2 linked regions of the Notamacropus eugenii genome follow. The protein of the gene in region 1 interacts with the protein of each later gene in a pairwise test. Links are inferred from orthologs where the notes say so. Each region holds a gene or a part of one and is shown in the gene's direction. Other genes may lie near its edges.

Region 1 (16,272 bases):
TAGTACGTTAGGGCAAAGTCCTTCTTGCCTCATGCTAGTTATAGCTCTGCAAATAGTAAGTGATGCAGCTGGGACTCAAACTGAGGTCATCTATGAATGGTTACTCTCCCTATCCCTTTTTTATCTGTAGACAACAGACTAGAGTAATGAAAAACTAAAAATTAATTGATTCATTAACAAAAACTAAAGATTCATTTGAAAAGAACACATTCTTTATAGTTGGCTATTAATGACCTAAATTGTGTCGGATCCAATGGCCTTTTCTCAGGTCTCATCCTCTTTTGACTTTTCCAAATCACATGATGCTCTTAACTGCTCATTTATTAGAGCTCTCCTTCCTTGCTTTCTGTGCCTCTGTTCTGCCTAGTTCTCTCCTGCTTCCCCATTTCTCTGTTTCCTCTGCTAGGACTTCTCACTCTGACCTTCACTGTGACTATCCCTCTCACTCTCATGCTCTCCCCATCTTTATCCACTTACTCCCTCAGGGAATCTCCTCCATTCACATGGTTCAAATTATTACTGCTATGTGAGTTTCTCTCAAAGCTACATCCTAACCCTGAAAGGAGCAAGCGGAGACATGGAGCAATTATATTCCACAGCAGTATAAGAAAAAGCTGATGTGGGGGTGGGGTGGGGAGGAATACCTTTGCAGGGACAGGCTGCAGGGGATATCACGTAGGGGTGATGATTTCAGATTTGCAAGGTATTTAGCTCAAGTTCCAGCACCATAAAAATGCTGGTTATTTGATAACTGGCCCAACTCCATTCTTTCGAGGACAAATTAAGAGCTCTGTGATCTATGTGCAAGAAGTAGAGGAATGATCTTTGCTTCAGCATGTTGATAAAACCACAGTGGGATCAGAAAACCCTACTTTTCCACCACCATGCCAGCATATCAGTGGGAACTGACAATCTCATAACCAGTTGGTACATCTCATGCCTAGGGATGTGCCACCTTGAACCAGTTGGAGCTGACTGTTAAATTTTCAATGTCAGTGTATATACCATGGCAAATGACAAATGCTATAAATTAGGGCTTGATGTATTGCTTTATTGATTATCTAGACTTCAGAAATGAATGGAGAAAAGTTAATACAAATTAAAATTAAAAATGTGTCTTATGCACTTTTAACTCTCCAAAGAGCCAACTGTTAAATATTTACCATCACACCACTGCTCATGCTGATATTGCCTTGGGAAAATGAAGTCCATGTGTACTACTGGTCATATTAATGTGGAGCTACAGGGTCAGTAAGAGTAGACACCTAAGAATAAAATCACCAGGGCTAAAGTCAGCAATGAGTTTAATAGCTCCCAAGCTCAGCTTCAAGGTCCTATACCTGACCCCTAATGAAGACCCTGCCCCTTCTCTGAGGGCTGTGCCCATGACAAGGGCCCATGGTCTCAGACACTGGCTTTTTTCAGCTCTCCCATATTTTCAATTGTATGCTGGACAATTCTACTGTTTTTAAATCACAGTTGTCTCAAAACACAACTCATCCCAAACTGAAGTTATACTTTCTTTCCATATACCCTCCCTTCCCATTACCCCATTTCTGCTGCTGGTAGGACCCACTATCAGTTACCTAATTTAAATACCTTGGAATCATTTTGACTTCCCTCCCCTTCATGTCCTGAGTACAGTCTGTCACTGACTCTATTATTTCTTGTTTTGAAAAGTTGGTCTATTTGTTCAGATCTGACCTCAACTTTAGCTGTGTGACCCTAGACAATGCAAGTCACTTAACTTCCATCTGCCTTGGTTTTCTCCTCTGTGAAATGGGGATGATAATAGCAGCAGACTTCACACAGGCTTGTTGGAAAGATAAAATGAGATATTGGTAACATACTTTAGAAAACTTTAAAGTGATTTATAACACCAGCCATGTTGGTGTTATTGTTGTCATTAATTATTATTATTATTATCAGGCCAGGTTCAGTCGTGGAGGTCACCCTAGAAAAATCAATATCTATCTTTGACTATTATGTCTATACTCAGAGTTTACTCTGTTGAAAAATCACCAAATATAGCCTAGGTTTCCATAAATATGGATAACACTATTCCCATATCCTCTACAAGTATCCAAGGTAACAAATGCCCAATGGGTGTAGCTCTTAATGAACCAATCTATTTCAGGTCAATACCAGTCACTGTGATTTAATCAAGTGTTGTCTTTTTTCCTCTTAAGATGCCAATGGCATGCCCACAGCCTCTAATGGGAGGAGCTTTCAAGAGTCCCAAACAAAGGCTCACTACCCAGTAAACACCAAGTTGACTGGGTTACTCTCCTGATCAACTTCTATTTGCATCTATTAAGAAAATAGATAATGACCAGATAAGGATTGATATTCACATAGATATTGAGACTCTTTGCAATAACTACTTTTTCTGAGGCTTTTGACCTACAAATTGGGAATCCTGGATGTAGGCTAGAGCAGCTATTTTCAAAGAGGTCTCAGGACCCCTTTATAACTCTTAAAAATTATAGAGGACACCACCCAAAGAACTTTTATGTGAGTTACATCTATTGAAATTTACAGTGTTAGAAATTAAAATTATTATGAAAATACTTTTGACCTTATGGGCCACCTGAAAGGGTCTTGGAGAACCCCAGACTACACCTTGAGAAGTGTTGGTCTAAAGAGAACATTGAGCTTAGTATCAGAAGACATGTCTCTATCGTTTACCATCTATATGACACTGGCAAATCATTGAACCTTTCTCAATAGTTTTTCTCACCTTTAACAGAGGTGTAACCCAAGAGGGACCCACTAAGACTTTGTTTCAGGGTGCCAGTGAATAATTGACATCAAGGGGATACATACACATTATCCCTGCCACTGTTGGGATTTCCTTAAGTGATATTCTACCTGCCCTGTGCTACATTCTTATGGAGGCATATAGAAGCTATCAGGTGAGACATTCCCCAGTTCAGCCTGTTTAGCTTCTTCCAAGGGTGGGCTTCAAATACTACATGGTCTCTCTACCTCATCAAGACAATTTACCCTAGGCTCAGAATTGCTAGTTATTTGGGATGATAATAAATTACAAAGTTGTTGCCAGGATCTAATGAGATAATGTATGAGAAAACTCTTCATAAATTGTAAAGTACTGTACAAATAAGGTATTTTGACTTGACCATTATTTTGCTTAATTATTTTACTTCTCACCTTATGTCAGCTCTACCCATCAGTCTAGTTTCCCTTCGTTATATACATGAGATAATCATTAGTATCAGTCATTTTGTTATGAATTATCTAAAAAATAAATAAACCCTTTAGTATCTTCCTAATGGCATATCTCACCTTAGTTTTAAATTAGACATCATTTTTAGGTTAAAAATTCTAGCTAATATGATAACAGGAAGAACCATGAAGCTCTTAATTTGCTAACTAGGTCAGTTACGGATTTTTTTTGCTATGCTCTATGTTATCCTCTGAATTTTTAGTGATTGTAAAATAGGTCCAATTTATCTCTTTAGTTTTACAATATAATAATACTAGTAGTCAACATTTACGTAGCACTTTAAGATAATATTTAGAGTCAGCCCTTAGAATGTGTGCTCCTTAAGGATGGGGACTGTCTTTTTTTTAAAATTTGTATTCTCAGAGCTTAGAGCAGTGCCTGGCACATAGTGGAGGTTTAAGAAATGCTAATTGATTGACTGACCCTTTCAAAAATTCTCCCTTCTGGGAAGCTTGCCTTTTGTCCTTTATCTATCTATCTCTAGGTGATCACAATTAGAGGCAGTGGTAGAATGGTTAGGGAGCAGGCCTTAGAGTCGGGTTCAAATTCCTCTGACACTAGCTCTCTGACCCTGGAAAAATCATTTAAAACCTTTGTGAGCTTCGAGGAATTTTGTGTTATCTAAGTCATAAATCTCTTGGTGCAGGGAGTTTCTTCTTCTGATGAAATCACAAATCTTTATATTAACCTAATGTTTGGGGACTCCCAGGCAGATATATGTATTGGCAAGCTTAAAGATTTACCAACTGTGAAGGCAGAGACCTTTCTATAACGTAAATACTTTGCTTCTACCAGCAATACAGAAGATTGATCTTTTTGAGTTCAAATCCAGCCTCAAACACTTCATAGTTGTGTTATCCTGGACAAGTCATTTAACACTATTTGTCTCAATTTCCTCATCTGTAAAATGAGCTAGAAAAGGAAATGGCAAGTCATTTCATTATCTCTGCCAAGAAAATCCCAAATAGGGTCACAAAGAGTCCGGCACAACTGTAAAATGACTGAACAGCCACCAGTATTTGTAAAACCTACCTTACAGGGCTGTTGCAGGTTTGTAAGTGGTAAAGTACAAGGTAGAAGTGAACTGTTATTGGTGAAATGACCTTTAAAAAATAGGCGTGTCTGATTTATACTGAAAATCCATGCTTTGGCCTCCACCTCTGTCTTATGCCTGGTGTTATTTGCTTCTTACACACACCAGGGCTAAGGTGGGGTCTGGATACACCCTTCCATTCCTTCCGTCAGTCAGGGCAGATCAAGGCATACTCCCTACTAGACAGATCAACAGCTGCATTTCTGAAGAATCTTGTTCAACATGTCCTGACTTAAAACTCTTACTAGAGGGGGCCCAGAAAATGTAATCAAAGGAGACTGTGAGACTTCTTAATTTTATGTTGGGTATTTCACAGGATTTCAGAGCTGGGAAAAAGGATCCTCCTTCCAACACACCTCATACTGACAGCCTTTGATTGAATTGCTTTGATTTGGTGACAGGACCATGATATGTATAATTAAATAAGATATCATAATTGGAAGGAAGGGAGGGAGGAAAAAGGCATTTATTTAGCATTTACTGTTTATCTGGGATATGTGAGAGACCAAGGATACAAAAGCAAGCAAAAAGAAAGACAGTCCCAGTGCTTAAGGACCTTACTTTCGGACTTGGGAAGGTAACACCCAAAAGGGAGCTGGAAAGCTGGGGGAGGGGAGAAGACATTGAGGAGAAGGTCTCCTCTCCCTTCACCTTCATTCTGAAACTTGGAAGTCAGGAGTGGAACCAGGAGGAGAATAAAGACTGCAAAGTTGGGGGCTGAACCAGGAAGGGAACAAAGTTTGGCCAGGCGTTATACCCCCTTCTACAAAATGGAGGCCAAAGGAGGAATTCCCCTGTGGGGGAGGAGGGTGGACCTAGCAGAGGGATAGACTTGAGGAGGCTCAGACTTGAGGGAAGTTCCAGAATGAGGCAGGGGCAGAGGTTTGGAAGTCCAGAAGCGAGGGACAGGGCTGGTATCTCAAGACCCCAGAGCTCTTCAACTCTCCAAACCTAACCCCTCCCCCCAAATGGAACTGCTAGCAGTTTGTTTGTGTTTTCTTTAGCTGAATATCAGGATACCCGGGTTTGAATATTTGCATACCAGATTGAGGCGCTAAAGAAACAGATGGTGCAATTTATTATGATTGCATTCAAACCCTACTTTGGAATCTTAGAACTCTATTTTGGGGCCGAAAATTTCAAACAGCAGAGTTATAAAAGTATCTGTTCTCTGTTGGGAGGCAAGGCATTTGTACTGGGTGCCACATGGGACACTGAACATGTTCTCAGAGATGGCTGGTGTAACTGGGAACCTACTTACCTGGGGATTTCTCTTTTGTTTTAGTGTATTGGTTTCCCAAACTTTTTTGGCCTACTGCCCCCTTCTCAAAAAAAATTACTCAGAACCCCTATGGAAATCTATTTTCTTTAACCTTTTAATTAAAAAAAAATTGTGTCATTTAAAAAAAGATGCATCTTAAATTTAATAATTTACTGTATACTTGTGGTTTTTTTCTGCATTGGAATTTTGATGATGCAATATTATGTCATGTAACTGTATAGTATCGTATTATAAACATGCACATATTCCTGTGGATGCATGCTGGACTTCTTGACAACAAGCCTACACCCCTACCAATACTTACTTGTTAAGACCTGCCCTCCAACTTGACCACTGATGAGTTATAACTTGCATTTTGTGTGTTTATTTGGAAAAATAATGTAATCACTACGACTGATACACAACAGATGAAATGTGTACCAATATTTTTGTTCAAAATTATCTTCTTTCCTTATACTTCTACTGCCTCTTACTTTTATTCAATACCCACCACCTGCACCTGAGGCTACTACTGCCCCCCCCCCCCCCCCCATCATTCTAGCACCCCCTGGGGGGGTGTTCCTACTTTGGAACTTATATAGGGTTGGAAAGAGCAGTGAACTGAAGACTAGGCCTCTAGTCCTTGCTCTACCCCTTTACTCACTGGGTGACTTTAGACAACACGCTTAATTCCTGGGATTATCCTCTGTAAAATAGGGATCATAATAATTACACTCCCTTTTTTTATTGACCTATAAAACAATGTATGCAGTTATTAGACTGGACATGAGCTGCACCAAACTAAGTTCAGTGCCTTGCTCATAAAAGGTACTTAAAAAAAAACCTGTTTAATGAATTGAACCAATATATGGGGATCGAGCCAAATATCAGTCTTGAGCATAGGATCAGACCACTAGAGGAAACCATCTAGACCAATCCCCATATTTTGCAGCAAAGGAAGCTGAGGGCCAGAAAGTTTAAATACAGTCAGTAAATGTCAGAGGTGGGACTTTGAATGTGGAATCTCTATCTCAGGAGTTCTTAACTTTGTGTGTGTGTGTGTGTGTGTGCCCATGTGTGTATGATGGACTTCTTTGGCAGTCTAGTAAAAGCCTATGAACCACTTCTCAGAATAATGTTTTTAAATGCACAAAATAAAGCACATAGGATTACAAAGAAAACAAAGTATCGTGGAAAGATTAATTTTTTTTCATCCAAGTTCATGAAACCCCTGAAATCTTGTAGTTCATGGAACAACCCCCAGATATTAACACCTATTCTATCTCCAAAGTCAATTACTACATTCACAATTAAAAAGTTGCAGCTGGGACCTCAAGAGTCCTCTTATCTATCACCTTCATCTTAGAGACTGAATCTTGGAGAACTGAGTCAGGGAGACCTGAGTTCAAATCCTGCCTCTAATACTTAACTATATGTATGACCCTGGACAAATCACTTAACCCTATTTGCCTCAGTTTCCTCATCTGTAAAATTATCTGGAGAAGGAGATGGCAAACCTTTTCAATATCCTTGCCAAGAGAGCTGGACATGACTGAAAAACAACAGAACAAAAATGAGTATCATAATAGAACCTACCTCACAGGGTTGTTATAAAGATCAAATGAGATAATATCTGTAAAGTACCTAGTACAATGCCTGGCACATAGTAGGGGCTTAATAAATGTTTCTTTCCCCCTGAAGTCATTATTAACAGGGTGAAGATTCAAATCCAAGTTCTCCACATTTTAGCCAAATCCAGTGTTCTTGCTCTATGTATGCCTCTGGTAAAGGGTCCCTCAATGCTTCTTAAAACTCACTCTCCTCAGCACTGATCCATCTTTCTCAGCCACATCACTTGTGAAATATCCAACCCTAGGCCTTTTTCCTTGGTGCTCCTCGTTGGAACTGAATCAGAGGAGCATATCTTTTTGTCTCCAAAACTTTCATCTTTACCTTTTTTTTTTTTTTAAAAACTTTCTTCCATCACTGAACCCTCAACTCCAGGTATCTTCCGACTTCCCTTGGTTCATAATTCTGTTTAGCTCCCTGAGTTTCTAGATATTGGAAAGAAGTGGGGTGTAGAACAACAACAACAACAAAAATCAGAAGACCTGGTTTCTGGTCCTGCCCTGACTTTTTCTATCTGTATTTTCTTGAAGAAGTCACTTCTGTTTTCTCATAGATAAAAAAAAAAAAATGAGATTGGATTGGATGACCTTTTCCTTCTCTTCCCCTTCTAAATCTATGATCTGCCCCACCTAACTCCAAATGACCATTTCCCTCTTTTACCATAGCCTTGGTCTGGTATTCAACTCCCTCTTCCCTTTCTCACTTCTCTCTGCCACAGACTACTAAGTATAGAGTGGGTTTTCCACGACTTTTTTTTTTAAACAAAAGAAGAGAGAATAAAAACATCCAGGAAAAAAATCCCAGGATAAGGTAATCAAAAATTCATTTAAAACTCCCCATACTGAACGGTGCCTAAGATAATCTTGAACTAAAATTCCCTGGCCCTAGGTCAGACTTAATGACCTTCTCTAGATAATGATTATCTGGCTCCCTTATGGCCCCAAAAGAGAATCTGTTCCCCCCCCCCCCCCACCTGTCCTCTTCTGTTAAAATAGGATTTGTTCACCTGAATGTCCTGAATTGAGCTCGTTGGCCTGTTTGTGACGATCAAAAGCGATAACTTATGCAAACCCGCCTGAACTCTTTAAGGCTATATAAATGGTATTATTATGATTGTTACCCTTCCAGATCCATTCTCACTCAATCCCAATACATTACGGATTGCACAGAAGGTTTCTGGAGTGTTCTGCCTCCTTGTCCAACCTTGCACTTGCAAGGATATTTTCACTCGGGCCGTTGGCTCGTCCCACTAGGTTACGTTATTCTCTATTTCCCATGCCCCAGGAGAAGTCCTCGCCTTCTCTTTTTCCTGGATGGTTTGAACTGAGTTATAGCAGGTGTGGTGGAAGGACATTCCTTCGTCCCAAGACGAGATCTCGAATCCATAGAGAACATTTCAAGACGTGTCCGCTGTCTGAAAGGATGCCCATGCAAGGGCTGAGCAGGGAGGGGGTGCGGGTAGGAGGAGGCGAGGGATGGCGCTGCCAGCTCGCACCGGGGTACGTGGCACTGACTGTCCCCGAGGCTGAAAGGAGGAGGAGAAAAAGAAAGAGGAGGGAGTTCTCTCTCCCCTCCCCTTGTCCTTGCGCAGGAGGAGCAACCAGTAGACGGACAGCTCTGAGAGACTCAAACTGCAGGATCTGGGGACCTTTCTGGGCAGAGACCGAGCTGGCAAGGTTCACCGCTCTCGCCCCCTCCGCTGCTGAAGCCCACCCTGAGGATCGCAGAGACGGGGATGTCCAAAGGCTCTGCGCGCTCAGCCACTTGGAGCCCCAGTCCGGGTGGACTGCAACTCCCAGAAGCCCTTTACAGTTCCCGCGTGCGCAGAAGCCCCTGGCGCCATCTTGAAATCTGATCCTCAATCTCTGAGCTGGAACGTTAGTGGCGGCGGCTGCTTCGGCGGCCCTGAGCTGGGGCAGTGGCTGCGGCAAGAAGAGGAAGAGAGGTCGGAACGCCGTGCCGGTGGCTGGATGGCCGAAACCAGGATGGCGGGTTCAGAAGGAGTCCGGCGCCGGGGTCGCTTGGCATCCCCTTGAGTCTCCCGCCGGCGGACAGCCGGTCCACGAGGGGCGGGGACTCCCCGCGAGTGGTACCCAGAGCGGAGCGCGCGTGCGCGCCCAGGTAGAGGCACAGGTGTGGGGCAGCCGGGAGAGCGGGTGCCCAGGGGCATGGCGTGCCGCGCCACGGAGCCCCCGAGTGAGTGAGCGCTTCCCAGCCCGTCCCACCCGACCTTATCCCTCGCCCGTCCCTTCCCAGCTCATCCCCTCCCGTCCCTGGGAATCCAGGCACAGCCAGGACCGAAGATGAAGGAAATCTGCAGGATCTGTGCCCGGGAGCTGTGCGGCAACCAGCGGCGCTGGATTTTCCACACCACCACCAAGCTCAACCTCCAGGTGCTCCTGTCCCATGTCCTGGGCAAGGATGTCTCCCGCGATGGCAAAGGCGAGTTTGCCTGCAGCAAGTGCGCTTTCATGCTGGACCGCATCTATCGCTTCGACACCGTCATCGCCAGGATCGAAGCCCTCTCCATTGAGCGCCTACAAAAGCTGCTGCTTGAGAAGGAGCGCCTCAAATTCTGCATCGCCAGCATGTACAGGAAGAATAACGATGACCCCAGCACCGAAGCCAAAGTAGGGAATGGGACTGTGGATATGTCCAGTTTACCAGATGTCAGATACACGGCTCTGCTCCAGGAAGACTTTGCATACTCCGGGTTTGAGTGCTGGGCAGAAAATGAGGACCAGACTCAAGAAGCTCACAGCTGCCACACTTCAGAGGGCCCTGGAAACAGGCCCAGGAGGTGTAGGGGCTGTGCTGCTTTAAGGGTTGCTGATTCTGACTATGAAGCCATTTGTAAGGTACCCCGAAAGGTAGCCAGAAGCATCTCCTATGGGGCTTCTACCAGGTGGTCTACCAGTATATGTACTGAAGAGCCAGCCTTGTCAGAGGTTGGGCCACCAGACCTATCAAGCACAAAGGGACCAGCAGATGGGGAAAGCATGGAAGAAGGAACTCCTGGTTCCTCCGTGGAATCTTTGGATGCTACCGTACAGGCCAGCCTTCCACAACAGAGGGATGAGGAACCTGAGAGAGGCAGTAAAGAACTCCCAAAGTGTGATTGCTGCTCAGATGATCAAGCGATCCAATACACATGTGGCCACAAGCTGGAACTAGCGCTTAACATGATTAAAGGTTTTGACTATAAACCCATCCAGAGCCCCCGAGGGAGCAAGCTTCCTATACCAGTGAAATCCAGTCCACCTGGAACCAAGCCTGGCCATCTCATGGCAGATGGGACCAGTCCCAATTTCCTAAACAGGCCTGTGAAATCCCTTTCCAAGACACCTGTGGGTTGTTCCCCAGAGATTTCTGAACTGCAAGAACTGTGGGATGATCTCTATGAGGACTATTTGCCGCTCCGGTTCCAGGTAGATGATATGTAATACTATGACAATTCAGTTTTATCAGATGACGCAACTAGATTGTCTCCAGACTTTCACATGGCTTCTAATTAGTCAAAGTTAACCAGCAAAGTTAACCAGTCAAGTATTCTAACTCTATTCTTCCTTGACTTTCATGCTGCCCATATTTCTCTTGCCACTTTTTGGTGTGTAGGTAAATCCATTTGCAGCTTTGATTCTGCATGCAACATCAGTTGACCCCCCCCCCCCAAAATTTTTTTAAGCAAAAAGATTCAATCAACACTAAATTCTTAGTAAATGTTGTTTCTAAAAAAGGGCAGACAGCCTTTGCTCTAATGCTATCCCTCTCTTGTTTACCTCTTCCTCTTTTAGTTTCACAACTTGATTGATCCTTTTCATTGTCAATGAGAGGGCTAGTTTTTTCTTTCTCACAGACTAGCCTGGAACAGTAATCTTTTTGTGTTCAAGTGCTCCCAAAGTGATTGTAGCAGATGGTAGAGTTTGAGGAAAATCCATTAATTAGTAAAATGCTATCAGAAAAATGTTTTTGTTCAGCTGCTGTACTTATTATAATTAAGGGCATCATTTGGGGGCTCTTCTTCAAGATGGCTTGTTTTATCCCTTGAGTCTTTTTTTTAAAATTGTTTTAAAGGCCTTGGGGATTAAACTAAGATATTACTTAAAGCATTTAGGTGAAAGTCACTCCCAGTCATCAATCCCAGGTGCATTTGTGCTGAGTATATTTTTCACGAAACTGAGGTTTTTACATACTTGTCTTATGGCAAGAAGACCACTTCAACTAGTATTTTGATTTCACTTTAATGACTTGAGAGAGGCAATTGGTCTTAATTCAGCCTAGACACTAGAGAGGTGCCATTTTGTTTCTATAGTAACCATAAATACTAGATGCCTATAGTTTTCTTCAGTACTTCAGAAACAAATCATACTTGTTCAGTAATAGTATAAGTAGAAACGGTACAGGTACAAATGTTGTCATCTGGAGTGAATACTTAGAAATTATATTAGAGTACTATGAACTAACAAAAGCAAGGACATGAGTTTTATTACCTGAAGATTTGATGCCAAATTAAATTTCCCTAGTATCAAAATAGCATCCAAAGCAATATCTTCTCATGAGAAAAAAATAAGAAAATATATATAGTATTTAAATATTGTGCGCAGTATGTAAGGAATATCTGTGAAAATTCTTTGGAAAAAAATTTATAAATACAAGGTAGAGTACTATTTATATTATTTTTTAATTTTCTGCATTTTAAAAGTTAACTATTATGCTTAGGACCGATATATTTTCCTTTTATGCTTGTTCCTTTTATATACTTTCAGATGGAAATAATAATAATAATGATAACATATTGTTTATGTGTATGTAGTACTTCACAAAGCTTTGAGGTAGATTGTTCAATAATAATTTTCCCCCATTTTACATGAGGGAAACTAAGACTCAGAGAGATTTAAGAAGCCATTTAGTATGCTAGACATCATCACAAATAATGTTCAGTGCTTTCATATCAATTCTGCAGAAGTAATATTTGCCTAGGCAAGGTGGAAGGAGGAAATATTTCATTTCACAGGTCGATAATAGCTAAGGCAGAAGAACAATGACTGGAAAAGCATAGACCCAACCGGAAGAGTTTTGTCTTCATTTTCAACCACTGCTAATATTTTTGAATTGCAAGGTAGCACATCCTCTAGTCTAACCCTCTTATTTTACAAATGAAGACATTGAGTCTCCTAGAAAATTGTGACTTGCCTCAGGGTCACCTCTAGAAACTAGATCCCCTCATTCTTAACATTATGCTTTTCCTTCTCTGCTACACTGACTGAAATACTCTTTAAAGGTGGTAATTCTTAAGAGGATTTCCCAGTCCCTTCACGGTAACCAGAGTTACAGAAGGAGTTTTGGGAGATTCTGTAAAATAAAATGTGGTCGTACTAGACATGTTTTCATATGCCTCCATTTTATCACCTCCAGAGCTTTCACAAAGGTTCAGGATATGAAAAGCAGCATTTGAACAACATGGCCATTGTATGTGACCTCCCTGCTAGCTAGCATCTCCTTGCTTGAATCAGAATATGTAAGAATTAGAAAAGGACCTTAGAGGTGATCTAGACCAAAATCTTCATTTTATAGATGGGAAGGTCAGTTGCAGATTTTTCCCAAGTCACGAAACTTGGGACTACCCTATTTCCCACCTCTGCTAGGATCACTGTATCACAATGCCTCCTTTTATCCCATTGTTTGTGAAATAATATCATGACCAAATGAAAGAGAAGAATTGTAGAACCTATTTTATTATTCCAAAATCAGCAGTGGGAAATAAATTCTAGAAAGATGAATGGAATTTGCAGTATTATTTCTAAATAAAATCGGTGATCCGTTTTGGAAATTGGTCCTATTATTGCTTTCACTAGTGCTTCTTAGCAGGAGTGCTTCGTACAGAACCAGAGCTGAGTGGAGTAGAGGGAAAAAGAGGGCATTTCTCTTTTGTCTTGTCAGGCCCCTTAAATCCTTAAATGGGTAGAGACCTGTAAATGTGGTTTTGGTAACCCTTGCTTTAAAATTTGGGAGAAAAAGGCTAAGTAAACCAATGTCTCTGATCTTTTGTTTAATTCCACCCTTTCCTCAGGGACTACCACTCTGTTAATAAAGACTGCTCTCAGGGACTTTCTCCTGTTAGCTGATTTTCTCTGTGAAAAATATCCTAATATTTCTTACCTATTGATTACTTTATGTGAATCGATTTCATTCTTTCCCATGTTTTTTGCCAAGAATTCATGCTGTTAGCATTTTTTTTGTAGGTAGGTATAAAGCTATATTTTATTTAGAGACCTCTTTTCTTCATTGTCTGGTTTTGAACTAGAAAGGCCCTGGGGATATGCTTTCTTTCCCAAACAGCCTTTCAGGTTTCTGGTACATCTGGCATTTTCCCCTTTTCAGATAAATACAGACAGCACAAGATGTTTTTAATATTTGCAGCAAAGTTTGTAGTGACTGACATGAATCTCTCCTTTGTTGGAGCACTTGGCTTGTTGCAGTCATAGTTCCTGGCCACCCTTTGGAAGGTGACAAGAGTCCAAAGGGCCATCAGTCCAGGACCAGAGCTTTAATCTTCTACTATCGTTCTGTTGTCTGTCTTTCCTTTATTAGCAGCCTGAGTTGAAAATTACAGTAGCGTGAGGTCTGGGCCTTGTTATTTTGAGGGTGAAGCAATGCCAAGCAAAATGCTTTTTAACTGGAAGAATCTGAGTAACAGTAATAATGTCACAACATTAGTCTTAGATGGAAGGGTTGGCGTTTGGCTAGCCACCAGGCCCGGAAGTGGTTTTGCTTTCTAAAGCAAGGGAGTATTTATAGGTTCTATCTCTGGGCTAAGTGATTTCATTTTCAAATTGCATTATCATTCCAATGTCATTGTAACAGTTCACCAGATCTAGCAATTTAGATAATGTTGAACCAAAGTATTGCAGATTGAAGATTGGATAAAACTTTCACAATTCACTCTTGTAATAAGTATTTGATGCTTAAACATTTTAAAATACAGTCATCAGCATGATAAAAATACAAGTTCACAGTCCTCTGGTTAAGAACCCTTTCCCTAAAAAAAAAGGATTATTTTTCCAATACATAGGTATTTAGAACTGGAAGGAAATTTAAGAATAAGATTGTTTTTTGAACCAGGCCTGTGATTCATTGCAATAAAATATCATTGCAGTAAGAAATCTCTCATTGCCAGTGTGGACTGTCTGTCACCTGTTCTGCAACTCAGATCTTGGGAGCTGCCAGAGGCACTGAGTAGAAGTTAAAGTTACTTTTACCAGGGTGTGACAACTAGTAGGTGTCAGAGGTGGGACTCAAACCCAGATTGCCCTGATTCTGAAGCTATTTACATGTCCCAGCCTAATTTAGAATTAAAAACAAAGATGAAACATCCAGTTTCTGGATCTTTAGGAACTATGAATTATTTCAGTGTAACTGTTCATTTTCATCTACAGATGAGCTGGGTTTACTATGTGTATTTCAGTAGAACTTCCTTGACTTTTGAAATTAATCTGTTTCTACATTGAAGATAATATGAATTGTCCGTAAGCTTGAATTTTGGAGAAAACCAAGCAACAGAGCAGCTTGCAAAATCAGCTTTGATAGATACATTCAGTAGACAAGTGATTCCTTAATGTGTATTGTTACAATCTATTCTTGTTAGTTATAATTACTGGAAATAATCGAACAAGTTCATTTGGTCTTTCTTCTACAGGCCACAGTTCTCAAAGGATGGGCTTGTGGTTAAAATTTTTATTTACACACCCACCAGTGCTCTTCACATCTTTTTTTCTGGCCACACAGAAGTAAAGTTTATGACAGATTAAGGGAAGTCTAGTATGTTTACTCTTATTTGTTTACACAGAGGTTTTGAATTGTTCCTGGATAAAACGAGAAATTCTGAGGTATAGTTTATCTTCCCAAGTTTACCTTGGACTTATCAGGATACTTGTCATCATCTCTTTTGTCTTTCTCTTCCTCATTTGCAAATGAAAGTGATATTCCTTAAAGTCTGTACCTGATTTCCAGAGTTAGGAGATTTTGAGCTACCTGGAGATTAAATATTGAACAAGGATTTCTCATTAGGAACTTCAGAACTCTGTAGTTCTGATTTTCTCCCCTAGTTGGTTTTTGTGTTGCCTTTAAAGTCAGAATACAGACTTAACATATCAAAGCAGGAATGCTGATATCCATAAATGTCCCTGAAACGCACCTATCAGCTAATATTTGTTGGGTATCCATTAGTAAAATTGTGTGTGTTCATCCTTTGTTGCCGAAGAAGACCATGCCATCAGAGAAATAATGACATGACTTGTACTTGGCTTTGTTTTGAGTGAGGGAGGGCTGTGCAGGTCACCAGCCTCACTTCTCTTCCAGAGCCATCTGAATCCAGTGACCAGATATTCATCAGGATGACTAGGGATGACCCCTAATTGGGGTTAGGTGACTTGCCCAAGGTCACACAACTAGTGAGTGTCAAGTGTCTGAAGTGAGATTTGAACTCGGGTCCTCCTGAGTCCTGCACTGGTGCTCTATCCACTGCACCACCTAACTGCCCCAACCAAATTAGCATTGTGAAGATGGATAGGTCTCAATCTCTGTTTTAAACATTTAAGTAGCTGCTGATTAATTGCTTTTAGGAAAAGATTTAGATCACTGATACTTTTATCTTGTTGGATTTGCATTTCACTTGATTTTTTAGACAATTTATTACTCCATTAAACCCCCAGACTTCCATTTGTAATTCCTGTGGTTCTCTGATTTCTATGCCCTTTAAATCATCTGTCATGTGAATAACAATATGAATGATTTGCCCTCACTAGATTTTCCAGAATTTTGAGAACATTAATAAATTGTGATTTTTATCTTAACCCCTTTGAACATAAATGATTGGTATATTGGCATTCCTACATTTTCCCTGTCTTTGACCTTCACAACAAACATTCAAACTATGCTTCAGAAAGCGCAACTCTGATGAGCTGGCCATGTTGTTCAAATGCAAAATATATGCTTGCCAAAAAGACTATTTTATGGAGAACTCACATGGAGCAGGCAATCACA
Region 2 (16,089 bases), on another chromosome or scaffold:
GTAGGCTTATGAAGTTGCCTTCTAATCACTATGTGATTTTTTCCCCCAAGTATTTGGTATCCCCCAATGGCCACAAGATTACATTGTTTCCAGAGTAGACTTCCTCTGTGTACGCTGGTCTAGTCTAGCTTCTCTTCTCATTTCTGTTTCCTTTAATGCCATTTCTACCTCATATAGATGCACATCAGGGGCTGTGATATCAGAATTCAGATGTAGTAGGACTCTGCAGTTGTTGACAGAGAAAAAGAGTGTTACAGTAATGCTGCCATCTCGTTTTCATTTTTCATCTATTTGTTGTTTTCCTTCCACTTTCACCCTTAAATATCCTTGAGATGATATGAGTTAAATGAGTCTCTGGCCAACTTTCCATAAACTTGCTTTCCCCCTAACACGTCTCACTTTGATGAGGCGATACAGTTCATGATCTTCCACGATCAACCTCTGGAAGATGTTTACCAACATGACTGTTCTAAGCCCTTGGCTGCTCTATCTCTATGTTTGACAAGATCAAATGTCTGCTGGCTGGGTTGATTTCTAGGCTTTTTAGTCTCCCTGATGTAGGGGCTGATTTTTAACAGCTTAATTGTATGAAACAATAATGGTGTCAATGTCTGTTCTTTGATTTCATGTCCCATTTTTCAGTGTCAATGATTCAGTAAAATAGGTTACAATGAAACTGCCATATCAGTTTGCTTCATATTCTGTCTTGTAACTTGGTATTGCTTTGGATTTCCTGTTCCAATAAGTCAGTAATTTGAGTGTATACTGACCACTGAGCTGGAAATGACTCTTGTATCAAGAACCAACTGTTTACTATAAGAATATCAAAATAATTCAAAGTATCAATGTTAAAAATTGTTTTTACATGCAACTGAGAAATAAGATATACAGGCAATGGGGTAGAGAAATCTACCTTACCATACCAGGAAATAGAAGGGGAAGGGAATAAGACAAGTAGGGGGGGATCAGAACAGATGGCATACTGGGGGAAGGGATAATCAGAATGCATGCAGTTTTGACGTAGGGGGAGGGGAGGGATGGGGAGAAAATCTGAAACTCAAAATCTTGTAGAAGTGAATGTTGAAAACTAAAAATAAATGAATAAAAACACTGAGGTCTGCAAACAGAAAAAAAAAGATATATGCTTACACATTCACGCATGCATGAACATCTGTACATACTGTCTGCTCCCTCTCTACAATACCAAATGGTAGGACAGGTCAGCCTTGAAGTTCCCAGTGAGATGCTAATGTGACATACAAACCACTCACTGATTATTAGATGTTAGTAATAGTTTGTCGTCCTGTTCCATATGAAAGGACAGAGTAGTCCAAACTAGTGAGGGGAATGTCTTCTATGTGCCTCTCCCTGTCAAGTTGTCTGGAATAATTTATTTTTCTGTGCCTTGCTGACTGTTGACTAGAAAGTATAGTGATATAGCAGGGAAATGGAGGGAAAAGATCAGGGTCCATCTTTTCTTCAAGTTAGCAAGGAAAGCGTGGTCAACCTGACACCTAGGTTCTCAAGCTAAATGTGTATAGAACTTTGAAGAAGAAAACAGAACAGATACCTAACAGGCCTTAAAATATTCCCATCATTAAGCATCTTTATGAATTCAAAAAGGGGTTTTTACCCCAACAAAAGAAAAGTATAGAGCTTAGAAATTTTCTTGTGAAAGTCCATTTCTTTGGGTTCATCATCAAAGAGATGACTTTCCCAAGTCAAAGCAATATTAAATTCAACTGTAATGGTGGGAATTCATTCTCACTGGCTTATCCCTCTGTCAGTGAACTGATCAATAATTTGCCTGCTACAGAAATAAAAATAAAAAATATGAGAAATTTTTAAAAAAGCAATTCAAAGCACCAAAAAAATTTGTTTATGATTTTATTTGAAAACTAAAACAGCCCATTACCTACATAAGTCACATTTCTGAAGTAAATAACTGCAAAGCCCAATTTAATAACCCTATTGATCATACGTGATTCTTAACCAGAGGGCTGTCTTCAAAGTCCTCATTGCCACCTAGTGGCCTGAAATGGTTTTCTGAAACAGTTTCAACTAGCAAAAAGTGATTAACTCACCATAATTACATTGAGCTACACTAGGTTCCAGAAGTAATTCCTACTCTTTTTCAATATTTTCTGAAATAAATCACTTGAAGTAAGATCCAGTTTCAAGTAAAGAGCTACTCTGAGACTGTGCTAGGATAAGCAAAACTGATTTGAGACCTATTTTTGAGTAAAACAAAGTTTAAAGTTAAAATGAATTCTTACTTTCTAAAAGTATGCTCTACACATGGCTATTGCTTCAGTTATTCTGTTAAAATGTATTTGTCTAGTCCAAAAATAGATCAACTTGGGGGCAAAAAAGGAAGAATGTCCCTAAAATGTCCAGGTGGAGAAACTGTGTTTATAAAAATACAGATGGATTTAAAAATGGGAAATCTTTAAAACAACTGAAGACTGCTAAAATAATTAAAAAGTGATAAATGGTGGAAAGCATGCATTTACCAATAAAACTACAGAAAACTGTAAGTGACCTGATAAAGTCTTTTTAAGTATTGAAGGAAAGGCATCCAAGAAGCTTTTTATTAAAACCTATACTTCTCACACAGGCAAATAAGCCACAAATGTGGCATTTTCCTTGCTCTCTCCCACTGTCCCCAATCCGTCTTTTGATAGAGCTATGGATTTTGATTATGAAGGGGGAAAAAAATTCTGAACTTACCTGATGACTTCTTTAAAATTCCTGAATGACAAGGACAGTGTTAAACTGACCTTGCCTAAAATGACTCAGGCAACACTCTAGCACTGAAGTTAAAATGTTTTCTCCAGTATTTAAAATTTTTGTTTCCAAAGTTTACTTACCTTCCACATGCAGTATTTTTCTACATAGTATCATAATGAATTGTCACTAAGAGTAATACACATCTGATTTTTAACAAAATTAAGATTTTCCTATTGGTTAAAATATGTAAATTAGGGGTAAAATGTTTGTTTAATATTCATCAGTGTTCTTTTAAATAATGAGTTTCCTCATACATAGAGACCATAGATCCATTTGCATATAACTATTCAGGTAGAATGACCTCAATAGTTTTCTTTTTTTTTTTAAACTAGACCTATGATTCCATTAGTGAGGAAAGATACCAGTGAAGGGCTCCCTTTATCAATGAAGAAGGCAACTATTTTACAAATTTAAGACAGAGAGCTGCGTGGGGTACTGAGAGGGAGTGTTCAGGGTCACATGGCCACGGCCAGTCACTCAGACAAGGACATGAATCCAGGCCTCTCCTGATTCTGAGGCTGGGTGGAGAACTTGTGACATAAAGACCACATGTGACCTTCTAGGTCCTCAAAGTGCAGTCCTTTGACTGAATCTAAACTTCACAAAACAAATCCTCTTAATAAAAAGATTTATTCTGTAAAACTTGGACTCAATTAAAAAGCCACACCCAAGGACCTAGAAGACCACATGTAGCCTCAAGACTGCAGGCTCCCCACCCCTGCACTAGGCCATGTTGCCTTTGAGAAATCTAGAAAACAATTCAGAAAACTTCCTTTGGGAACATTTTTTTTCCCTACAATTTAAAGAACTGTTCTCAAAACAGTCAGAGAGCATTACTCACTTTAGATATTAAAAAATCAAAGAGAAACTCTCCAAATAGTCTGTCACCATTGTACTTCCACCAGAGTGGTTTACCAGCAGAGCTCACTCAAAAGTAAAGTTGGAGAGTTTCTAAAAAGTGACTGATTATGCATGTTAAAGATCAGTATCATTAGTTAGTCTTCAACTTATTGCCATACCAAATATTCTAAGTTTGCATTTGTTTAAATAGTAAATAAGTTTAGGAAAATTTGACATATCTACATACCTTCACTGACTGCACAAAGCTGATGCCTTGCTCAGTTTCTATCCTACAATCATCACATTCAGCTTCCTGCACCTTTACGCTGCCGGAACCTGATGTCCTGATATTCAGATCTAGAAATGAAGAAGGAAAGACAAGTTAGTACAAGAGCTGAGGACAGCTCCTCTGAGAGCAGGGCAGTCGATACTGCATCTGGCCTAAAAGGCAGAGCTTATACTATAAAGCAGTACAGTCAAAACAGACAACCTTCAGTGGCTGTCTGAAAGAAAGTCCCACTATTTTAACCTCGGCAGAGGTTAGGCAGAGAGGCGATGAAGCTACTTTTCCTCTACTCTTCAAGAGAATACTTGTTTGAGACAGGTATCAGTATGACATTTATTACTATGAGTCTGGACAAGGGGCTGTGAAGTCACCTTATCTGTCTATCCCTAAGCATATATGGGATGATACTAAGGAAAAAATAATATATTAATGAAATACATTTGCCAAAAGAACAAAATACATCAAAAAGAAAAATATGATTTTTTTTTTCCTACTGGATAATGGAAAGATCATTCCATGGTCACATCTGAATACCAGTGCAGAATGAAGAAGTAACTAGGAAATGCAGCCGTGTTACTGGTGTGTACTACTCTCAGTGACTAAGGAGTGAAGAAATAGCTTTCTAGTCATGTTTACTAAAGGTATGATGCTAGACAACTGCAGAAAAGAAATACATTTTCTGAGATTCAGGGAGATCTCAAGGACAAATCTTAACTATAACCCTATACTTCAAAGATCCAAAATTTGATCATTGTAAAACCTCTCCTTCCAACCTACCTCTACCTCCAACCTCTTGTTACAGGTTTTGACTTCTCCATGCCTCAGGGCTGTCCTCAAGAGTCACTATGGTTCTCTCCCACCCCCCCAATAATTATCTTGAAACCAACCCTCAGGTAACTTGCTTCTCTGTAATTAACTAGGTTGTTCCTGAGATAACAGACTTCTGTTTTACCTAATGGTCCAGACTTGATGCCTTTCTATCCAATAGAATCCTCCAGAAGTTGCATTCCATTGGTATAAACTTCTAGAATCTAGAGAAGCATCACAGCTGGCCATTAAGCAACTCTGAGAACAATCATGAGAAAATAAAACTAAGATTAAGTCACACGCTAATCACTAGATGCCCTCTCTGAGCTAGCACCAATAGGAAACTGAACAAACAGCATGCTTCTTAACTGCAGTGAAATCAAGGCCCCATAGTTTGACAAACAGGGATTTAGGCTTACATGTCACCTTCTTTCTTCAGAAGGTTCCAAAGGAATTTTCAACACCCCTGTAAGTGCAGCTCCGACTTGATGAAATTTTTAAAACCACTATCTAAAACTACTAGAGAGAGCAGGGTGGTAATTACTGATTCTAGCTTAAAGCAACATAATCAAAAAGGATGACCTACACTGGTTGGCAGAAATACTTCTGTACAGCTCTATTTTCTGAATGGCACTCATCAAGGATCCAAATCCTGAATGTCAGGGAGGACTGGTGGATGGGATGGCAAAAACTACAGAAAGGGGAAAATTCCCAGAAGAGCCATGGCAGACTACAGTGTTGTTTCTCCCAGAGAATTTATCAGTACCAAAATGAGAGCTATGCATTAGAGCAACTGGTTTATATAATACATAGAGAAGAAATGAAACAAAACAGTAATAGGCTTAGTATCTGCATGAAGTAAAGGAGACCAAAGTGAACCAATTTATAAATCCTTCCAGTTTTATTGGTCCATTGGAGTAATAATAAAAATACCTAAAATATCACCTGAAAAGAGCAGTCAAGAATTGAGAATGTAATTTCAGAATTAAAATAGTTCTTTACCAATTAGAACATATATACACATACATGCATACACATATGCACACAAGCATGTAAATATGTCCATAGAAATACATATGTGCACGTGCATACATATATACACATAGTATAAGACTAGATGTATATGGAAGGTGCACTTTACAAGTTCTGAAAATGAATAAAGAAACTGTGCCTAGAACTGTGCCTAGAAAAAGTATGTTCAAGCAAAGTCAAATAGCACTGGGCTAGCCAGCCTACAAAAATCTCTGCATACCTGGTCTCATATAGACTGACAGATCAACCAACCATTGACATATGTCCTATAGGACATAAGGGAATGTGGTCTCAGTCTCTTACATTTTTATGCTTCGTAACTATTTTCTGAAGCCTCATTAGCACAAATATCTACAGATAATCCTGATTGTCTAAACACTTCTGCTTCACTGAGATAAGAACTTTCTTAAAACTCGGATCAAAAAGCATATTAGAAGCAGGTGATTTTATATGTTAAGATATGGGTTTGATTTCACCTCTACTACTTACTAGGTATATGACAATGGTCAAGTCATTTCACATCTCTTGATCTTTGTTTTATTAATTTAAAAAATATATGGGCAGTATATTGTTACTGTGTACTATACTAAGTTTTTTGGAAAGTTTGGTAAACTTAAAATCAATATGTAAATGTGAGTTATTACTTTTATTATATAAATGTATAGTGCTATTAATGTATTAAACACGTCCTCCACTAACGTCATATTCTGATGCATCACTGTAGGCCTATCGTGGGTAGAAATTGCTCTTTCTATACGGTTCAAGGAAATGGTCTAGAACTGTAACTACTGACATTTTCTACTCCCACAAGTATGACTACTTGTCATGTCAAGATGAAGCAAAGTTCATATATACGGCAGAAAAATACCCAATCTGCCAGGCCTTAACAATTTAGAAAAGAAAGTGTTGACTATGGTATTTTCAGTCTGTTGTCCTAGAACTAGCCTACATGAAAGGTGGCAAGGACAGAATTTTTCTCCATACCAGGGCAACTAAAACGTAAAGGGGTTAGTTACAATCTACATCAGTAAAGAAAGTACCATGCCAACAAAATCATGTCCCTTCCAGAGTGTCAAAGTAACAGTATTAAACATGAACTTGGGCTATAAATTCAAATTTGTCTGTAATATTAAATCTGTTGCATATAGGACCAAGTAATAATAAGCTTTCTTATTTCAAGATGGTGACCAACACCAATTAAATGAAGGATCACTGAAATTAAGTGACTATGAAGCACCCTTAAAATATGAAATGCTAAATAAAAAGCTAATGTGACCACTGCTGATGTGTAAATAGCTGCAAGACTGGAAAATAAGACATTCTTGGTTCTACCAATCAAACAACTTTGAGTAAATCACAATGGATCTGTAAAGCAAAGGACACTGACATTTAACATATAACCTACAGAATAAAGAGAAATAATGGAATCTCCCTCAATATACTCCAGAGTCAAGCATTATATTATCCCCTCCCTAATCTTTATATCAATACTTCAAGGAGTCATGATTTTATTGCAGTGCATACTCCTATTAATGCATTTGGCAACACTTCTCCTTATACTTGAATAGACTACCTCAGGAATGGCTATTTATGCAGCAAATTTATCACCTGATGGCAAGTGAGCCTTTCTACATTTAGGCAAGTCCTCCTCAGACAAGTCATCTGTCACCTCGGCTTTTCTACTTTAATAGGTCCTGCCAGATCTTAAGTTTAGCTGGTACTGCCTTAGAAAACCCAAGTTTACATTTGAAACAAGAGTAATCAGATGTGCTAAAACATAAACTCTGAAAATCTGGGTAGTTAATAAATCAAATAATTTCCCAGTAACGTAGATAAACTTTTAGTCACATTGGCTTAAAATTAATAGTAATAAAATTAGTTTTTAGATTGCAAAGTTGGGAGAAGTTTTTTTTTTTTTTTAAACCACCTTAGTGAGTAGATGATATTGTTTTAAAGTCTAGAGGCTGCTCTGCAAAACCTAACTGGTTCATAATTCCCAAATGTTTAGTAACAATTACTCATAGTCATCCTATAAAGACCTCTACTTTTACTTGCTAAATAGTAATGACTTTATAATCATCATCTCCTCTCAGGTTTATAAAAACACAGTAAGGCAAGTAGTATGTTTAAATATCAGTTACAGGGCCATTGAACTAACACCTCTGGAAGTGAAGACATGCCGAAGTGCCATCACTTTGTAGGGCCTAAAAGCACCTGCACACTGTATGCTGGCCGCTATCACAAGTCTCCGACTACTCCAATGACAGGGCTAGGGAGGCTGCAACGCGAGAAAAGGTTCGCCGAATCTGCAAGGAAAGGACCCAGGTTCGAATCACCCGGGTGGACTTGCCCTCCGTGACCTCGGACCGCGGGGGCCGGAGGCGCCTCACGAAACCCCCTGGGCTCACCGAACTTGAGGGGGACCTTCACCTCCACCGAGGCCTGGGGGCCGAGGCTGTCCGAGAGGATGGCCATCTGCTTCAGGGCCTCGTCGTACCTCACCTGGAGGCTGTCCAGGTCCAGGCTGCCGCCCTCCACGCCGCTCACCGTGACCAGCACCCGGTCGGCGTCCGGGTAGTGGTAAGGGTCTAGGGGTCTCACGGCGATGTCGCACGGGAGCCGCGCCCGCAGCCGCCCGAACGGGTGGACAACCAGCGTCCACTCCTTGAGCGGGGTCCGGCGAGCGCTGCTCTCCACCAGGCTGTAGGGTCTGGCCGGGCGGGCTCGGCGTGCCCCCGGGGCCGCGGCAGCCCGGAGCCCGGCCCATAGCCCCAAGAAGCCGAGCTGGGGGCCGCCTCGCCACCAGCCGGCGCTGGGGACAAACATGACCCCGGCTCAAGCCCGGCCCGAGGTCACCACAGCCCCGCGCCGGGGTTCTCTGACAGCGGCCGACCCGGCGAGGCTAACGGAATAAGGGGGGCACGATGGGTCAAGGTGAATGGGAATGACCCCCTGAGCCCCATACATCGAGCCCGCCCAGCCCACCGCAATCTGCCAGCCCTGCACGCCGCTACAACTCCTGGACCCCAGAGGCAATTAAAACCCGGGGACGGAACTCCCCAGCCTTCACCCACCAGGTGTCTTTTCACCCTTCTCAATCCCTCAATAACCCTGTGGGCCGACGGGATGGGTAGTTCTGAACTGTATAAAGAGCGTGGAGTTGTAGGCACTCAATAAACTACAAGTCCCAAAAAGACCGCGCCAGAACCTGCGGGACGTATTGCTGAGGGCGGATGGAAACACGAGCGGAAGCTTGTGAGTACGCAGCTGACTGGCTGTTTCCTGTGCCTCGAGCTCATTGGTCTATAGTTGTGGAAAGGGGGCGGGGGACCTTTACCAACCAATAGGAAACCTAGAAACCACTGGTGCGGCGGAGTTCCATGGTCTCCATGGATACAGGGGACGCGGCGTCTGAGGCTCTAGAGAGCGGTGCAGTAGTGCGGAAGAAAGGCAGAAATTCCCAAAGTCGAAGCAGCCAGCGCTGGAAAGAAAGGGCCAGGGAAGAGGGTCTATATTGCCGAAAAAGTAAGAAAATGAGTCATTGGAAATACGGGGAGGACCATGTGGGAGGCGGAGTCCAAAACTGATACGCAAAGTCCTGAGGTAAAGGAGAGGGGAACTGAGAGTGAAAAGTCGGCTAGAGAGGCCAAGAATTCAGTGAGCTTTGGAAACAGAAAAAACCATATATATCCGTATACACACCTACACATACATATAGCTGTAGGTTAACGTGTACATGTATCTACATACACGTACATGTATAGACATACGTAAATGTACGTATAGCTATTATGTTAGTAAATATTGCTTTCCTTTTCCTTACCCGTTCAGTCGCTTCGCTTGCTTCATCTGAAAAAGGAGGCTAGACTGTGTGATCTCTTAAATTTCTTTCCCATTTCAGTAGTCTGTGAATCCCTGACTGCAGCCCCACCCTCATTTCCTAGCCTTTCCGTGACCACCTTCTCCAACGAATTCCCGTTCTCTTATTCATATAGTCACAACTTACTGTGGTTGTTTTGCGTCCATAATAATTATAACACGAAATCTGAACTTCAGAAGTTCCACTTGTCCCAGAATGTAAAAATTACAATACTGTACAAGTTAGAAGAGGACGTTTCAAGATTGGATAGGAGGCCAAGGGTCCTGGATGATTTTGCTGACCATTATATGCATATTCAGAGTTATTTTAAGTGTATTTACCTTGCTTCATTCTTCTGTGTTTCCACCTCATCCTCAAGAGCTTTGGTCAATACGTTTTAGATTAATTATTTACAATTTTTAGGCTTTGTTGTCTTATTTCACTTATAAAAATCCTGTATCCATACCTCTTTTAAAATTATGATCAAAAAACTTCCAGGCACTTTAAAAATTCAATTAAATTTCTTATACAGCTGTCAAAATCTTTATAGACCCACAGATAGTACATTCTTTATTTAACAGTAATTCCTTCCCTGCGATGCACTAAACTGCTTATAGACACGAATACAGCCATCACTGTCATATACTAAGCATCTTATAGGCATAGAAATGAACCCCAAAATTCGAAATAATTTTGAAAAGACATTTATTTAGAATAACGGTTCTAAGAGTTTTCAAATTAACTGCACTAAGCAGTTAAACTATTTTGTACAGTAGGCCATTCTCTGGCACTATACTGAGATAGGTATCGATAAGCATAAACATTCAACTTTAGGTTGAAATATAAGCATAAACATTAAAATTTGGGGCACCCTAAACCTAAATTTGGGTGTACTTGGATGGGATTTAAGCATTCCCTGTAGCCATTCAGATTCCTTAATAGCATCTCTGAGGTTAGCCATTTTCTAGTCATATCAAGCTATGTATATATATACGTATACATATATATACGCATATATGTATATGTTATTTCCAAATAATATAACATATTTCCTTGTACACCCCCATTTTAAGCAAAATGAGTGACTCCTAGAAAATTTTTCTTGATCATATAAAGTTTTAAAAATTCACTAGAATTATGTGAGAAGTTATTACTACTAAGATTTTATGGTACTCCTACTATTTGTTTTCTTATTTTTCCTCTAAAAACAGTGTGGTGTAGTGAATAACAAAGCATGCTTGGTGTCAGGAAAATGAGACCTGTTTCTGATACTATCTGGGTAACCCAGGGCAAGTCACTCCACCTCTGTTCCTCAGTCCTAGGACCTTTCTACTACAAGTCATAGATGGATTGTAATCTACTTTGGTGGTAAATTTTCCCTAAAGTGAGTAAATCACAGATCGCTTGTGTATTTTCTTTAGTACCTTTTTTACAACTGATCTTTTGAAGAAGAAAATAAAGCAAAAAAAAATTCTTCCTAATGCTTTGAGTTTATCAAGCATAGCTTTATACTTCAGTGTTTCTATCAAACTTGGAAGACAAAAATCATTAACAGTAAAAATCCAGAGAGAAAGCATTTCTTTTTCTTATTTAGTTCCTGTCTTTAGCTTTCATAAATTAATCCTAGAATGAATGGATTTCTGGAATAAAAGAATTGATTTTTAAAAAGATGGAGATTGTTTTCCCACAAAATTTCTAATGCAATTAAATTCATTCCTACTTTTTTAGTGATTTGTATTTCAATTTATAATAGCAAAGGAAAAGATTTAGGAAAATGTATAAGTTGTTTCCTCAGGAAAACCCTATTAATTGAGACTAAATGAGTGGATATTTGAGTTAAAGAATATTTAAAATGCATATTTATTACTTCCTGATTTGAGGAGTGGGGTGGCAAGTTCCTGGACCTGTAAAGAGAACTCCCTGTGTGGAGACTTCTGCCACCGATGCCAACTAGCAAATTCATCTATAATTTTTAATCTTAGAATATTAATTTCAAATCTCTTGTAAAAGTGATGGGTCACAAATACCTTAGGGTTCTTTATAAGTTACAGGCAGGTATTTGATTCCAGCTTTTCTATATCTACTAGATTATAAACTCAGACAGTAGGAATTAGGTTGTTTTTTGTAGTCATCACTAAAGTGTCAGTAATTTTAATTAGTATATTTCTTTGAGTTGTGTGGATTTTTCTTAAAATGAAAAGAATCTATCAAGTTTTCCTACCTATTTCAGTTCCTGAATTTGATAGCCAATGCCTCTCCAAATGAATGATTCTGTAGTAGACCATCGTATTACTGAGGGGAAAGGCAAAGAAGCCATGGATAAAACGTATGTAACAAAATGAAGTTTATTGAAGGATGTTCTCTACAACCAACTGAAGCCACAGGATTGGGGCCAGGGTTATCTCCAATCTTGATCCTACACAATTCAGGGGTAGGAATCTGATTAGGTCCTTGACGAAAATAACATCCCAGATTTCTTTCTTTTTTGATATAGTAAAAGTCCTATCTTTGACATGCTCCCTTATTTTGTAAGTTTCTAAAGGAGATGAGCATTGGAGAAGAAGTGAGGTATTTTCTTTTACCTTTGCTCCCAAGGGTACAATTTTTGAACTTCTATCTAATCATAATCTCACCTCGTTCCACCTCTCTCCATGCTTCACTCCTACATCTGTTCCTCATCCTCCATAAGACCTTTATTCCTTCCATTAGTCAATCTTTGGCAGGCCATTACCCTTTCTCTGACTTCAATTTTTCTCATTCTTCAACCTTAACCCTCTAGTTAGCTATTTCTGCACTGTTCTACACTGTTTCCACACTGTTCTCTGCAGTTAAATCCCTCGCCCCTTGTCCTCTGGCCAGATTTCAGCCCTGGATTGTTCCCACCATACTCTTCCTGCATCTGCTCACAAGTTGTTGAATAAAACTGGAGGAAATCCTGCAAAGCCTGGTGATTGGGTACATTACAAAGTCATATTATCCAGCCTTATCTGTGCCCACACTGCAACAAGGTAGTACTTTTATTCTCTGATAATTGATTCCCTTTTTACCTGGAATGTACACTTTCCTTACCCCTACTTTACAGAGTTCCTTTTTTTCCTTTCGAGGCAATTCAAACACCTTCTTCTACATGAAGCTTTTTCTGTTTCCTCCAAATGCTAGTGCCCTCCATCTCACTAGTAATGATGTTGTATGTGTAAATTTTATATTTACTCTGTATATCCCCCATTAGAATATAAATTCCTTGCAGTTAGGGAATCTTTTATTCTTCATACATGTATCTCCATTCCCCAGTGCCTAGTTCAATGTTGCACAGTTGGAGCCTAATAAATACTTAGTGATTTGTTGAGAATTTTAATTGTTGGTTAGCCATGAAGTCTTTTTCTTTGGTCATTTTCTGCCCTGCTATCTGCTGTCATTCTACCTTCCAGACTGGCCTCCAGAGACCTTACCTGAGAGGGGTTAAGACAATCTTGGCTCTAGCTGGCACTGTTCAACTTTCTGTTTACCATCTATCCTTCAGCTATGTGTATACCTTTTTCACTTGTGCTTCCTACCTTTTGTTCTCAGAACCATAATGAAATCATCATTCCTGTGAGCTTGATTGAGTCACCTTCTCTGTGTCTTTCCTGACACAAATTCCCTTTCCTGGTCACTGTATCCTCATTTATACCACCCTCCTCCCCCATTAGAACATAAACTTGTTGAGAGCAGGTACTTTTGTAGTTATATTTCTAGAGCTTAAACTAGATCATGGTACCTATTAAACTGTTAATAAGTGCTTTTCAAAAGAGTGATAAAGGGAAGTGGGAAGAAAGCCTGCTTCATCCTGATTCTGGAACTGTTCACATAGCTTATCATAGCTACGGCAAAGTGCAAAGTCAGGCTACCTACCTTTCCAACCTTATTATTCATCTTTGTATTGTCCATGATCCAGCCAAATGGTTCTCCTTAACTATAGCCCTCCATCTCTCATCTTCATGCTTTGCACACGCTGACTCCCATTCCTCTGATACATTTTCTTCGTTCCCTCCTTCCCTCTTCCTCTTCAAATCTTGAATGTCCTTCAAAGTTCAGCTCACATGCCACCTGTTCCTCCAGTCCCCACCGTGTTCTTTCCACTTTGTATTTGCTTTTTATCTATTTTATATACACTGTAATATATGCGTGTTGTATTTCCCATTAGAATGCAAGACCTTGGAAAGCAAGAACTGTTTTATTGTTGTTGAATCCTGAGCATTGTGCCTGGCACATAGTAGGTGCTTAATAAATTGCTGATCGGTTGATTAAGTTCTCTGGCTCTGCCATTTACGACCTCTGTAAAGTTGGGCAAGTCATTTCATGTCTCTGAGCTTCCATTTCTTCATCTGTAAACTGAGGGGTCTGGACTAACATACTTATGAGGTCCTTCCAGCTTTAGAGCTGGGATCCTATGGACATTCCCCCATACAGAGAAAAATTTCTCAAAGTTTGTTTATGGCCTAAATTTCTAATTTAACTCTTAATTCTCTTCTGCTCATCTCCAGACTCCAAAATATACTATAGTTTTAGTAGACAGGCTAACATCCACACAGGACTTCTTGTACATTATTTCATATATTGGGATGTTTTTTGTTTGTGAGATAAGCAGTTGCAGTTTAATTTATTGTAGGCCAATAGACACACAATATAAGTAGTTCTAGAGCTCTCACATTTGCTGCTGCATTAGTAGTAAGTTGCCACAAGGTGGCAATTATGTTTTGCTCAGTCATATCGGAATAATGTTTGTTAGAGTCTTTGTGTTTGAAATTTAAATGATATATAATAAATTCGCATAAAGTCATTTCTTTTATGTTTATGCTATAGCTTGAATCACATGTATTGCATAATGGAACAAGTTCTAGGTTGAAAATAAGAGAAACTAGATTCTAGTCTTGGTTCTGCCATTAACTCTTAGCTTGACCTTGAAGAAATTGTGAGATCTTATCATTTTTACCTTCCCAGCATTTCTCCTCTATGTGCCCCTAGCCTACTAGCCTTGAGCCCTGATCACCTCTCAGCTGAACTATTGTAGTAGCCTGCTAGGTTATCTCTGTCTCATGTCTCACCCCACTGCAGTCCATCCTCTACTCATGGTTGCCAGAAGTGGTTTTTCTTAAAGATCAGACCTAACTCTATAGGTCTGAACCCATCACTGCTTCTGCCCCCTCAGTTAACTGCAGTGACTCTGTTACCTCCAGGATCAAAAATATATGATTCTCTGTTTGGCACTTAAAGTCCTTTACAACTAGTTCCTTCTTACCCATCTAGTCTTCTGAATTATAGAGTGCATGAAAAAAGAATAATAACATATAAGAAGTCTAAATGCCATATGTAGGAATTTTATTTGATCCTAGAAGCAATAGTAAGGCATTGGAGCTTCTTGAACAGAGAAATAAGATGGTCAGAACTGTGCTTAAAAAAGTCAGTTTGGGAGATGTGTAGACGATGAATTTCAGAAAATGGTTATCGTTTGTTTTTGATGTTTGTTCTTCATTCTCAAGGAAGACCATGACATCAGGGAGGGGATGCCACGACATGCAAATGAATTGGATTTAAGTGACAGAGGACTGTGAAAAGTCACCAGCCTCATTTTTTCCTCTGGAGCCATCTGGGTCCAGTGACCAGATATAGGTCAGGATGACTGGAGATGACTTGGCCTTTTTAAGCTAAGGTCTTAACAGGTCTCAATTTGACAGAGGCAATGCCCATTCAGTGGTTAAGGCTAGGTAAGAAAGGAGCCAGAGAATGGCCTCCCTACCTGGTCAGAATTTTTTCAAAAAAATCATTCTGGGAAGATAAGACCTTCAGAATTTCTGACCAAAACAGAAACAATTTGTTATTAACATTCACTCTAAGCCAATCAGGGAGGCAGGGATATGAATGAAGAACCTATTGCCTTAGTGCAGGCTAGAGATAAAGAGGGTCTAAACAAAGATGGTGGTTGTGACTGAAAACAAATGGATGAATTTAAGAGATTCTATCAAAGTAGAATCTGCAAAACTTAGCAACTGATTGTAATTGTGGTGTGAGTTAAAGGAAAGAATGGAAATTTCGTACTTGGAAAACTGACAGGATATCATGGTAACAAAGGACAAGCAATGACAACTGAAAACACAGTGGTGCCCTCAAAGGAAAAGAAATGGTTAATTGTTCCAGTGTCTAGGTTATGTTCCAATATTCCAGTCCCACCTTGAATCAGGACAGGGAAAGGTCCTAAGAAGGTGTACTGTTAGGATATGGTAGGCCCAAGTGGAACAGTAGAATAGAGAGAGCTGAAGAAACTGAGAACCCTGGGGAAAGCAGAAAGTAGAGGATAGGTAGAAGTGGGAGGAAAAGGGACTAGCTAGTCCGAAAAGGGGGCTAAAACAAATCTTTGCTTTACAGCTCTGCCCAGGGCTTGCGTGGGTTCTCATCAATAGGTTGGTACCTCATTTCTTGAGCTTTTCCTTTTCTCTTC

Evidence for each region.
Region 2: the proteins of PDE4DIP (region 1) and CCDC146 interact in binary tests that used the Homo sapiens proteins (3 or more experiments, as listed by UniProt). The two-hybrid records come from large-scale screens. The link is inferred for Notamacropus eugenii from reciprocal best matches to the Homo sapiens genes PDE4DIP and CCDC146.

Annotation. Positions count from the first base shown.
Region 1 is NC_092873.1:300,433,548-300,449,819, forward strand, and holds the start of PDE4DIP (myomegalin), read left to right. Parts: upstream 1-8,539; 5' UTR 8,540-9,533; coding exon 9,534-10,658; intron 10,659-16,272. UniProt on the Homo sapiens protein: Functions as an anchor sequestering components of the cAMP-dependent pathway to Golgi and/or centrosomes.
Region 2 is NC_092874.1:153,280,810-153,296,898, forward strand, and holds the start of CCDC146 (coiled-coil domain-containing protein 146), read left to right. Parts: upstream 1-9,127; 5' UTR 9,128-9,280; intron 9,281-16,089. Other genes in the region: protein FAM185A, read right to left, coding at 3,878-3,987, 8,164-8,581. UniProt on the Homo sapiens protein: Essential for sperm flagellum biogenesis and male fertility.